Linked DNA regions of Danio rerio. The protein of the gene in region 2 interacts with the protein of the main gene of each other region in a biochemical or structural test. Links are inferred from orthologs where the notes say so. Each region holds a gene or a part of one and is shown on either strand. Other genes may lie near its edges.

What was found.
Region 1: the proteins of cltcb (region 2) and hip1 form a complex in vitro, tested with the Homo sapiens proteins (3 studies listed by BioGRID). The link is inferred for Danio rerio from reciprocal best matches to the Homo sapiens genes CLTC and HIP1.
Region 3: the proteins of cltcb (region 2) and clint1b form a complex in vitro, tested with the Homo sapiens proteins (2 studies listed by BioGRID). The link is inferred for Danio rerio from reciprocal best matches to the Homo sapiens genes CLTC and CLINT1.

Annotation. Positions count from the first base shown.
Region 1 is NC_133190.1:19,375,732-19,379,391, reverse strand, and holds part of hip1 (huntingtin-interacting protein 1), read left to right. Parts: coding exon 1-80; intron 81-1,929; coding exon 1,930-2,040; intron 2,041-2,134; coding exon 2,135-2,193; intron 2,194-2,384; coding exon 2,385-2,478; intron 2,479-2,561; coding exon 2,562-2,662; intron 2,663-3,660. UniProt on the Homo sapiens protein: Plays a role in clathrin-mediated endocytosis and trafficking. Involved in regulating AMPA receptor trafficking in the central nervous system in an NMDA-dependent manner. Regulates presynaptic nerve terminal activity.
Region 2 is NC_133190.1:19,716,690-19,720,449, forward strand, and holds the start of cltcb (clathrin heavy chain 1), read left to right. Parts: upstream 1-940; 5' UTR 941-1,205; coding exon 1,206-1,247; intron 1,248-3,760. UniProt on the Homo sapiens protein: Clathrin is the major protein of the polyhedral coat of coated pits and vesicles. Two different adapter protein complexes link the clathrin lattice either to the plasma membrane or to the trans-Golgi network.
Region 3 is NC_133196.1:37,155,480-37,159,139, reverse strand, and holds part of clint1b (clathrin interactor 1), read right to left. Parts: intron 996-3,660; coding exon 755-995; intron 274-754; coding exon 177-273; intron 1-176. UniProt on the Homo sapiens protein: Binds to membranes enriched in phosphatidylinositol 4,5-bisphosphate (PtdIns(4,5)P2). May have a role in transport via clathrin-coated vesicles from the trans-Golgi network to endosomes. Stimulates clathrin assembly.

The DNA of each region.
Region 1 (3,660 bases), about 340 kb from region 2:
TCAAGGAGCAGGAGTCTATGGGGGCGGCAGACTGTAGTCGGCTGAGGACGGCACTAGATTCTGTCAAGGCCTTGGGCGAGGTGAGAGTCAGTCTGGGTTTTAGTTTAAGAAAACAGTTGATTGAACAGCAATGTTGGCAGGGCTCTGATATGTTTTGGGCATTTGAGTATCTGCTTGGGGGTCTTTCCTCATTTCAGCCCCATTTTTTTCCGCTCACTTTTTGCCAGTCTGTCTTGCTCAGTCTAAATAAAGGCACAAAGTAATGAAAATAAATCTTCGATAGATTAAAAAGAAATGTTAGAATGTAATTAGCAGAAAGAACCATTTTAGCACACTTTTCCTGAATGATTTATAATCTGCCAAAACCGGTATAAAGTATTACTGTTTTTTTTACTGCATATTATACAGCATATACTGTATATCGTCCAGTGTTTTTTTCTTTTAATATTTTGAATGGCTTTTTATTTGTATATTTCGGGTTTTAACTACTTTTTTTCGTAACATTTTATTCAGGATTTCTAGGTTCAGACAAAATCTTACCTACATTCTTAGTTATTTCTGCTGAGAATTTTGTAAAAACAAACTTTGGATTTATGTTGAATGATGTTTTTGGAGTGTTGTTGCTAAAAACTTAATATATGTAATAAAAATTTATACTTTTTTATCTTTAATATTTAAAATGCAAATCCAATTAGATCCACTAAATTGATAAACTAAACAAGTCTCTCATATAATACATCTACTAAAAGACAGTAAATACTACTAATAGTCAATAATATTACTAAAATTAATAAAAATTGAATAAATTAAAATTTACACACATTTACCCAAATAAATGAATCTGCGGAAATCTGCGAATGCAGATTCCATGTGGGCCTACTTATTCCCCAACAAATGAGCTCTTTACAGATGAGGGAATTGTAAAAAAACAAACAAACAAAAAAAAAACAACAACAAGCAAACAATAGTAATAAATATATCAAGATAAAAAAATATATATTCATACAGTTATTACCATCATAATGAATTTTCAGCAGATGCAATTGTACATCAAGTTACTTTGTGTTATGTTGTAGTTGCATCAAATTAGATAATTAATAGGTTAATTAAGCTCTAAATTGAAAATAAAAATATTGTAATACTTTTCCTCCTCTTCATTCAATTTACTGTTGATTTTCATAATTTGAAGGTTTTTTTAAATTGTCATTTTAATTTTTTAAAATGTATGTTTAAATTTCGATTGTCATTTTAGCTTAAACATTATTTTTTCTAAGACTGTTTCACATCTAATTTTTCAATTAAATTTGATTTCTACTTGTTAATAAACTGTTTTTAATTGTTTTTATAATTTAATTGTTCACTCAGGTGCAAAGGTGTCATCTAAATTCATTTTCGCTTTAGTTTTACATCTGATATTTCCATTTAAATTGATGTCACATTTACTTAATGTAAATAATTTGTACTATTTTAGTGAATGAAAACAACACTATTAATACCAGTAATTGATTTTATATTGTGAAACGGTATTATCTGTATATAGTATTACACATCATGAAGACCATGATATGCTTAAAGTGAAAATGAAAAATAAACTCCTGTGAAGTCATATCTTTTGGGGCAATCTTTCCGTAATACTGAATTTCAAAATATATTATTTGCAAATTCAAATGTTTAAATATAAGATTTTAAATTGAATAATTATTTTAATAATAATTTGTAAGTCATTAATCATTAGTATGCTCCGATAAATAAAAAACAAGAAAAAGCTAGAAGTCACTAACTGTAAATGTGGGAACAAGCATATTGCATTACTGTACTCCACACAGTTTGCTCTGGCTAAATATTTATAATTTTAGCATATATAGTAGACAGTAAACAAAACATGCTAACCATTTCTTGCTCGTATCCTCTTGTGTTTTGTGTGAGCAGAAGTTGCGTCCTCGGGGTTTGGAGCTGCAGCAGGGGGAGCTGGGAGATCTGGTGGAGCAGGAGATGGCAGCCACATCTGCAGCTGTAGAGTCTGCTGCCGCCAGGATTGAGGTAATCAGACGGCTCCCATTCAGACCGACGCTTAATAAAACATGAAGCGCTCCGGTCCACTCATCTAATGCTTTTCCCCTTTGCTCTCTCACAGGAAATGCTCAATAAGTCCAGGGCGGTTGACACTGGAATCAAAATGGAAGTCAATGAAAGGTCAGACTGACCGAGCCACATGTGTGTTATGAATACAAATACAGTGTTAATTCTCAGTGGATTTGTGAAAATGTCACTTTTTTTTCACTTGGATAGTGCTGCGTGTTTACTGTCACCCCAGACGCATTAGCCGACCCACCCTGACGCATGCTAAACAGGCTTTATTTGTTGCTTTCTGTCGCCCCCTGCAGGATTTTGGCGTCCTGTACAGATCTTATGCAGGCCATCAGAGTATTAGTTCTGTCCTCCAAAGACCTGCAGAGGGACATTGTGGAGAGCGGCAGGGTGAGGAAACCGAACACTTTGAGCAAAACACATGCTAGTGTTGAGTTTAAAACATGTTTCTGAAGTTTCTTGCGTGCTTACAGGGAGCTGCATCTATGAAGGAGTTTTACGCCAAAAATTCCAGATGGACCGAGGGTCTCATTTCTGCCTCGAAAGCTGTGGGCTGGGGCGCAACCATGTTGGTGTGAGTATTTCAGAAATTGAGGGGATGTATGTTGAGCTTGACATGGAATAGCCACAAGGTACTGATGTGGCAATAAACAAACAAACAAACAAACAAACAAACAAACTGAAAATTGTTTTTGAGAAATGTTACGATACGCCAATCTGTAACAATTTAACAAAAACAACAACATTTAATTGTAGATATTTCATATAATCACAATTGTATGAGATGACAATAACTGTGCAGAGTACATTTCATTTAGGAGTTTAGGCTCATAAAAGGAAATTAATGAATAAACATGAATCAAATTTATTAAAATTTTTGCAAATTAAAAGATGCATTTCACTTCACCTTGTGTCAATTACTGTATATTTACACACTGCCTCTAAAACTTTTGTGTCATAAAAAATTGTACAATAGGTTTGATTTTTTTTTTTTTTTGATTCGTTAATTTCCATTCGTAGCAAACATTTTGAGTGGTATTTTGACAATACAGAGCCACCGTACAAGTGGAAGCCAGGTTCCTGGATGCTAATGCTTGCAACACAGAGTGCTTTGACATTCAAAGTAGGGCTGCATGATATTGAAAAAATCTTACATTGCGATATTTTGTTTTGTTGCGATTATTTATTAATACAGTTGAAGTCAGAATTATTAGCCACCTTTCATTTTTTTTTTCTTTTTAAAATATTTTCCAAATGATGTTTAACAGAGCAAGGAAATTTTTACAGTATGTATAAAAATATTTTTTCTTCTGAAGAAAGTCTTACTTGTTTCAGATAGAATAAAAGCAGTTATTATTTTTTTAAACACCATTTTAAGGTCAAAATTATTAGCCCCTTTAAGCTATATTTTTTCAATAGTCTGCAGAACAAAACATCATTATACAATAACTTGCCTAATTACCCTAACCTGCCTAGTTAACCTAATTAAGCTAGTTAAACCTTTAAATGTCACTTTAAGCTGAAAAATATCTAGTAAAATATTATTTACTGTCATCATGACAGATAAAATCA
Region 2 (3,760 bases):
AATAAATAGTTTTTTTAAATAATTTGTGATAGAGTAATATTTTACTTCAATTTTATTTATATCTTTAGAGTGGAAACCAAACATGACAATTTTAGAGCAGTCCTGTATCCAGTGGAATTGTGTAAAAAAAAGAGAGGGGTTTTGACAACTGATCAAAATAACAAATGTTTTAATGTGTTGTGAAGAAAGAATCATTGTTTTTCCACCAAATATTATTATTTATGAACTTTTCTGAAGTTAAAACATTAGAGTTTGGTGTTGTCTTAAAATGAATATAACACATCTCCTTAAAAACGTGGAACTTTTTTTTTTTACTTAACGAAAAGCTCTAAATGTCAACATTTTAAATTAAGAAGAAAAGTCATCAGTAGTTTACAGAATAAAGTATACATTTCTATGTATTTGACTCAACTTTAAAAAGTAATTCGAAAAAAACGAATATTTTCAAATGGTCTCAAATATTTTCCATAGCTGCATACATGAGTGTTTCTACTTCTATCAGTTATTTACATTCTTCCAAATGTTTAACAAACATAAAGTACAAGTTTCTCAAGGACTGTATTTGGCTTCCTTACAACTTATTTAAACTAGTATTTGCTAGTATAAAACGATTCAGTAACGGCACTCTCAGACAGTTAGACGATTCGTTTTGAAACGAGCGATTTGTTGACGAACGAAAAGACACCGCTAGAGAGCAGCAGCCGGAACTGACGTACTCTGAATCAGAATTACTGAATGATGTGGCAAAAATAAAACGAATAACTTACAATTAACTAGACCACTTACAGCGACACTTGTATATCAAACATAAAAGGCTATGTCTCCAAACACTCACACAAACCAAACCAGGGCTTTGACAGTCGCCTAGTTGATGAACAAAATCGCTGAAATCGCGAATGTCCTTCCGCCGCAAAGTCCGCACTGCTGCTTCCGGATTGTCAGTCTGAGCTGTTTCCGCCGCCATTGCGGGTCTGAGTGAGTCCCATCCGTGCAGAGAGGGAAGAAAAAACATCAACCATCTGGCGGATTGGCTTGACACGACGAAAACGCGACACTTGCATTCTCCGCGTATTAAAAGCAACATTCCTACATTTGAGCTGTTTTGAATCGGGCTGTCCGCGGAGAGGAGGTCGTCGCTCGCTAAAGCTAGGCAGAATTTTTGCGAGGAGTCCGGCCGGGAGGATTGAGAACACAAAGCCCAAACCATGGCTCAGATCCTGCCTATCCGCTTCCAGGAGCACCTGCAGGTGGGTTTTCATCACAGTCAAGCTTTATGAGATAATTTTGAGACGTTAATAATCGGTGGCCGTGCTGTAACAGAGGTGACAGTGCTCGTTAGCTTTAGCACTAGCTCAATGAATGACCTCCCATCAATTTCAATGGCTGTGTATCAAAAACTCGCGAGCTGCCAAACAACATATCTAACGTGAGCGTTAGAATCAAATAGCATGCGAGGATGTGAAATGTGAAATGCTCAAATCAGAACATCGAGGTCGTTGTTGGGAGCAAAAACGTTTCAATATTACGTGTGAGTAATGTTGAGTTTGTGATGCTCAGAATATGCGGTCCTGGAAGGCAGGTCACTAGCTTTTGAGACACAACCTATGCAGGTGCATGCAGTGATCGGTGACAGGATTAAGGCAGCTTTATAAAGCTAAAAACATGCTGGGATTGATTTTGTCAGGAAATGTGTCGGTTGATTAAAACGTAAGCTCTCACATTTATGCATTGTTTATTGGTATTGAAAAAGGGGAGGTGATATTTCAAAATCTGTGATGAAAATCAAATGATTTTTAATAAATAAATAAATAAACATAATATGTACTCAGCCAGCATACATGCACATATAAAATATCAGGCATAATGACGGAAATTATAAGTAAACCAGAGATTGACAGGCATCAAGAATCGATTTGTATAGATGAAGGTTTTGTGCATTAACGTGACATTTTACTATTTTACTTCAAGAATCTCGACTTTTGTTGTAGTGTATAATGGAAACCGAGACAGTTGTTAAAAACATAATATTAAAGCATAAAAACAACAGCAGATTTATTTCAACACTATTTAAAGGTAAATAACAGTCCCTTCACACCCACAAGAAATATAGTAATGTTTATTTTACTGTATAAGGGTACGTTTAGTAGGCCTGTCATAATATCCATTTTTTGTTTTACGATATATAGCACCAACTTGTTTTGCGATAAACAGTATTAGAGTGATTTTAAGACACTATAATAGCATCATAATGCAAATACACTCTTTCATTTAATATATAATTATTGTCATTTTAACAACCAAACAATTAGGAATCAGAATGTGAAAATGTATATCCCAAACAAATGAATAATAATAAAAAATTTTGACAAAAAAAGTGCTTGGTAAAAAGAATCAGTAAAAATGTAACAGATCTATCTTCATTCGTCTGACACCCACACGAAAATATACTATAGTTCATTCATTCATTTTCTTGTCGGCTTAGTCCCTTTTTTAATCCGGGGTGGCCACAGCAGAATGAACCGCCAACTTATCCAGCAAGTTTTTACGCAGCGGATGCCCTTCCAGCTGCAACCCATCTCTGGGAAACATCCACACACACATTCACACACACACTCATACACTACTGACGATTTAGCCACCCAATTCACCTGTACCGCATGTCTTTGGACTGTGGGGGAAACCGGAGCACCCGGAGGAAACCCACGCGAAGGCAGGGAGAATATGCAAACTCCACACAGAGCCGAGGTTCATTCCAGGGACCTTCTTGCTGTGAGGCGACAGCACTACCTACTGCGCCACTGCCTCGTCATATACTATAGTTATTTATGTTTAATACTAGTTTTAGTTATAGTTTTTTAAATATACTTACACTAACACCTCCAATAGACAACAAGAGGCTGCGCTATCATCTAAAATGTGGCTAGACTTATGTATGGGCAATATATATTTTATCACCAAAAATGATTGAGGACATGTCCATATCTGCGATAACTTGATATATAGATTATTGTGACAGGCCTAACGTCTATCACTTTGTGGCATACTGTATTGACTAACAAATACGTTTAGTTTTGCCACAATAAACTGTGATGTAGATCAATATACCATATAATATATTATGAAATCATTGTTTTAATTACTAGAATTATTATGTTAACATAGCAACTATAATATTACCACAACAGTTTAAAGTACTTAAATATAGAACTCTTCATAAGTGCTAGTGTTTACTTTGTCATTGTTGTGTTTTTTTTTTTACATGTGGGCAAATACAAAATTTATAAACCAACATTTAAGTTTTGCATCATCTTTTTGTACATCTCCAATACTTGGTTGAAATACCAAAATTGAAATAGTATCTCTGTAATTGTGTAAATAAAGATTTCACTAAGTGAAATAAAATTAAAATAATACATTTTATAGCTTTATCAAATTATTGCTCTCAAGTTTTTATTGTGGGCGCCATGGTGGCGCAGTGGGTAGCACGATCGCCTCACAGCAAGAAGGTTGCTGGTTCGAGCCCGGCTGGGTCAGTTGGCATTTCTGTGTGGAGTTTACAATTTCTTCCCGTGTTTGAGTGTATGGGTGTTTCCCAGTGTTGGTTTGTGGCTGGAAGGGCATCCGCTGCGTAAAACATATGATGGATAAGTTGGAGGTTCATTCTGCTGTGATGACCCCTGATTAATAATGGGACTTAGCTGAAAAGAAAATGAAGTTGTTGTTATTATTATTATTATTTTTTTTATATGAGTTATGTACA
Region 3 (3,660 bases), on a different chromosome or scaffold from region 2:
TGCATCACTGAAGAACATCTAATTGTAAGAGTAAGAAAATCTACATGAGTTAAATCTCCAGAATTAAAGAAAATTGGAAGAAATAATTAATGCCAAATTAGTTTGAAAGCTTAACCTTGTGTGAGCAATAATAAATGCTTAGCAAAAAAACATGCATTTAAATATGGAGAATGCACCTGATGGGGTTTTACCTGAAGACAACAGATGACCAGAACCAGACTGAACAATCAACAAATCTGTCAGTCCTGGGGTGGATGACTGATTTGCTGAGGTCTGAAAAAAAATATTATGATTTTATATTTTACCACACGATGGCAGCAGAGGTTTGCTTTTGTATCCATAATCACTACTACAGCTACGACTGTATAGGTCCACTCAAACTTTGTATTTTTAGCTTTGCAGTGTATGTAAAAAATATATTTTTAAAAAGCTGATTAAGTTACACTGATTAGGTTATGCATTATTTGTATTATCATGATGTAAATACTCGATATATAGATTTATAAATTGTCAACAATTGTAAGTAAGTAATATTTTAATCAATATAAAGTAACACTTGTTCAAAAAGAAGTAATGAACCATTAATGTGAAACTATTTTTAATAGTACATTAATGCACTTATATTCACAAGGCTCCTGTTGACAGATTTATTTTTTTCAAACTGAGAACACTGACATCAATTATGCCTTTATGAGCCATCTACTGTACTATTAAAGTAATAACAGTGGAATTAATTAAAAGGCCAGTATTTTACCTTGTTGTCAGCTTCTGGACTACTATTGTCTCCAGTGTAATGAGCAGCTGCACCCAAGTCAACTGTTTTAGATGGGACTCCACCACGTTTGCGTGTAAGGGTGGTGGTAGTGGAGTTGGAGGTGATTGTATCTGTGCTTTGAGTGATTTGAATGCTATTGGTTGTAATAATCTCCTCATCGTCTTTGAACTCCAACTTTGCAGGACGCCCATTCTGTGAAACTCTGTCCTCCTCATTATCACTGCAAGAAGAAATAGCAGAAAGACTAAGTTTATATTTTGAGGAACTTTGAACTATGCAAAACTCTGCTAGTCCCAATATCTACATTGTAGTTTGTAGCACCATGGTACTGCAAGACACATCACTGTACTCAACTGTATGTTCTGACGTGTAGTAGAATGACAATACGGCTTGACTTGACTTGAAATAATTCTTAATTGTTATGTCTTGACTGTCTAAACAGATTTGTATCAAATTAAATTATATACACTAGGTTTTCAAAAGGCATCTTTACACTACTAGGCATTCTCTAATAACAACAAACTTCCTATCATGCCTGACTCTCTCCATTCAGGTCACTCTCTTTGCCAGTCATGTCATTCTGACTGCAATTAGAAAATGTTTCATGATAGAGGCATTTTTTACGATCAATTTACTTGGGCCCGTTAGGCTTGCTTTTAGATGCTTAATTCCATTTTCTCACAGAATGCCTAAAATTGTCTGACCTTAACTGAGATACGTTGTCTGATTTCAGTGCTTTTAAAATGTTATAAAACCAGACTGCGCCTAATTTCTCCCCATTTTTTTTTTATAAATTGATGTTTTGGATCCTTTGGACTGGCTTGCTTGCTTAAGGCCTGCTCTTCAGCAGTCACATTTTAATTAAACTGAACTGAACTTCAGCAGTGAAATCTTTATTAAATAGAACTGAATCAGTTTTAATCTAACTGGAACTAACTGGAACTAACTGGAACTTAATCTAACTGGACTGGCTTGCTTGTTTAAGGCCTGCTCTTTAGCAGTTACATTTTAAACTGAACTGAACTTCAGCAGTGAAATCTTTATTAAATAGAACTGAATCAGTTTTAATCTAACTGGAACTAAAACAGTTGTACGACTTCTCTCCTGTCTGCCTTAAATGCTGGAATGTTCTACAAAGTGGCTTTTATTCTATTTTCTTCATCTATGGTAAGCTGTTTTGACACAATGTGCATCATAAAAGCACTACAAAAATAAAGACAAAACATCAATTTACTGGAACTTCTAAGTTTAGTTGCCTTGACACAATCTACTTTGTAAAAGCACTATAGACATAAAGATCAAAAGATAAAGATGAATGAATTTGTAGGAGAGTGCATCTCCAATAAATGTAATAAACATATTAAAAGTATAGATAAATACAACAGAGCAACGATACAAATAAAATATGAGCAGTCTTAAAGTATTCACTGAATAATATACACTGAATAACAAACAAAACACTGCATGTTCTTCACCATTTAAATAATTTAATACAATTATTTTTTTGCAAAAACTACAAATATTATAATTTGCTGCTGAAATATTTTGTGCAGCTCTAGAATACAATATTCTGCTTTTGAGAAAACAGCAATAATTGTGTTATATTACTGATATACAGATGTTACTACTTCAATGTGTTCCTTGTGCCGCCATTCATACCGCGGCGACGGCGGTACTTGATGCGCCAGCAGCATTTGACCGCTGGGTGGCACTTTAACCACAGATATTCAGCTTTGCCTTTTCACAATGCTAAACAGACTGTTCTGTAGGCGTAGCTTACTGTGTGTGATGTGATGTGTTCAATTAAAATATAATTTTAATTTAGTTTTTTCTGGTAATAGACATGCTCTTACACTATACTATGCTGTAGAAAAGACATGATGAGAAGTCAAAAAGCAAATATAAGAATTAAGTTATTAGCCTTCAGTGCCCGATTAAATTGCGTTGGGGTGAAAATAATGTTTTGATTTCTTTGACTATCATGGCAATGTTATTATCTCAAATCTTAAACGTGCGCATATGAAAAACAGCAAAATAATATAGATTATCCTGCCAGTAGAGCACATCACCTCACAGTTGTGAACTTGCGATCACCTCAACTTACATTTAAAATTTGTTTACCTGGTTTATTGTGAACTTTTTAAGTGCAAAGAGGATTCGTTTTGGAAAATAGAACTGAAGAAATGAAAGACAACTAAAGTGAAAGCATAAACATTCAGTACAAATAAGTAGTCTTAAATAAATAAATAAATAAATAAATAAATAAATAATTAAATAAATAAAGCAGTCTTTTAGTCTAAATATAGAGAGATGTAGTTTGCTATTTTGATAGGACTAAGACAAGATATTTTCATTTATGTTTTTAATTTACGTTTTTATTTACATTTTCGTTGTTGATTATATTTTACTATCTCATTTTATGTTTCAGTACATAATAATAAACGAATAATGAAAATAAATAAATAATGAAAATAGGACATAAATTAAGTCTGGCAGGTTTATTTTTAATAATTTAGTTTCAGTTGCGTTTTTTTATTTCAAAACGTCAATGTTCTGCTTTAAAGTATAACTGTTTTGTTTTGTTTTTTTACTTAATGGCTCAGTAAGTTTTGTATTTTAATTTCATATTCAGTCACCTTGCATATGCGTGTGAAATATAATGCCGCATAACCGCGGAAAAAGAAGAAAAGGCTGTCAGTTAAAGCTAATCAAAATTAGCTATATTAAAATACAGCATTTATGTTAATACAGGCAGAGTGTGAACAAACTCAAGGCTAAGATATGCGCTTGCTTTTTAGTGCATTTAAAATATAAATAAATGGGTTTTTTTTTTTTACTTTTTTTGTATGGTAAAGGACAATGCACATTATGTTATTGATGTAAAC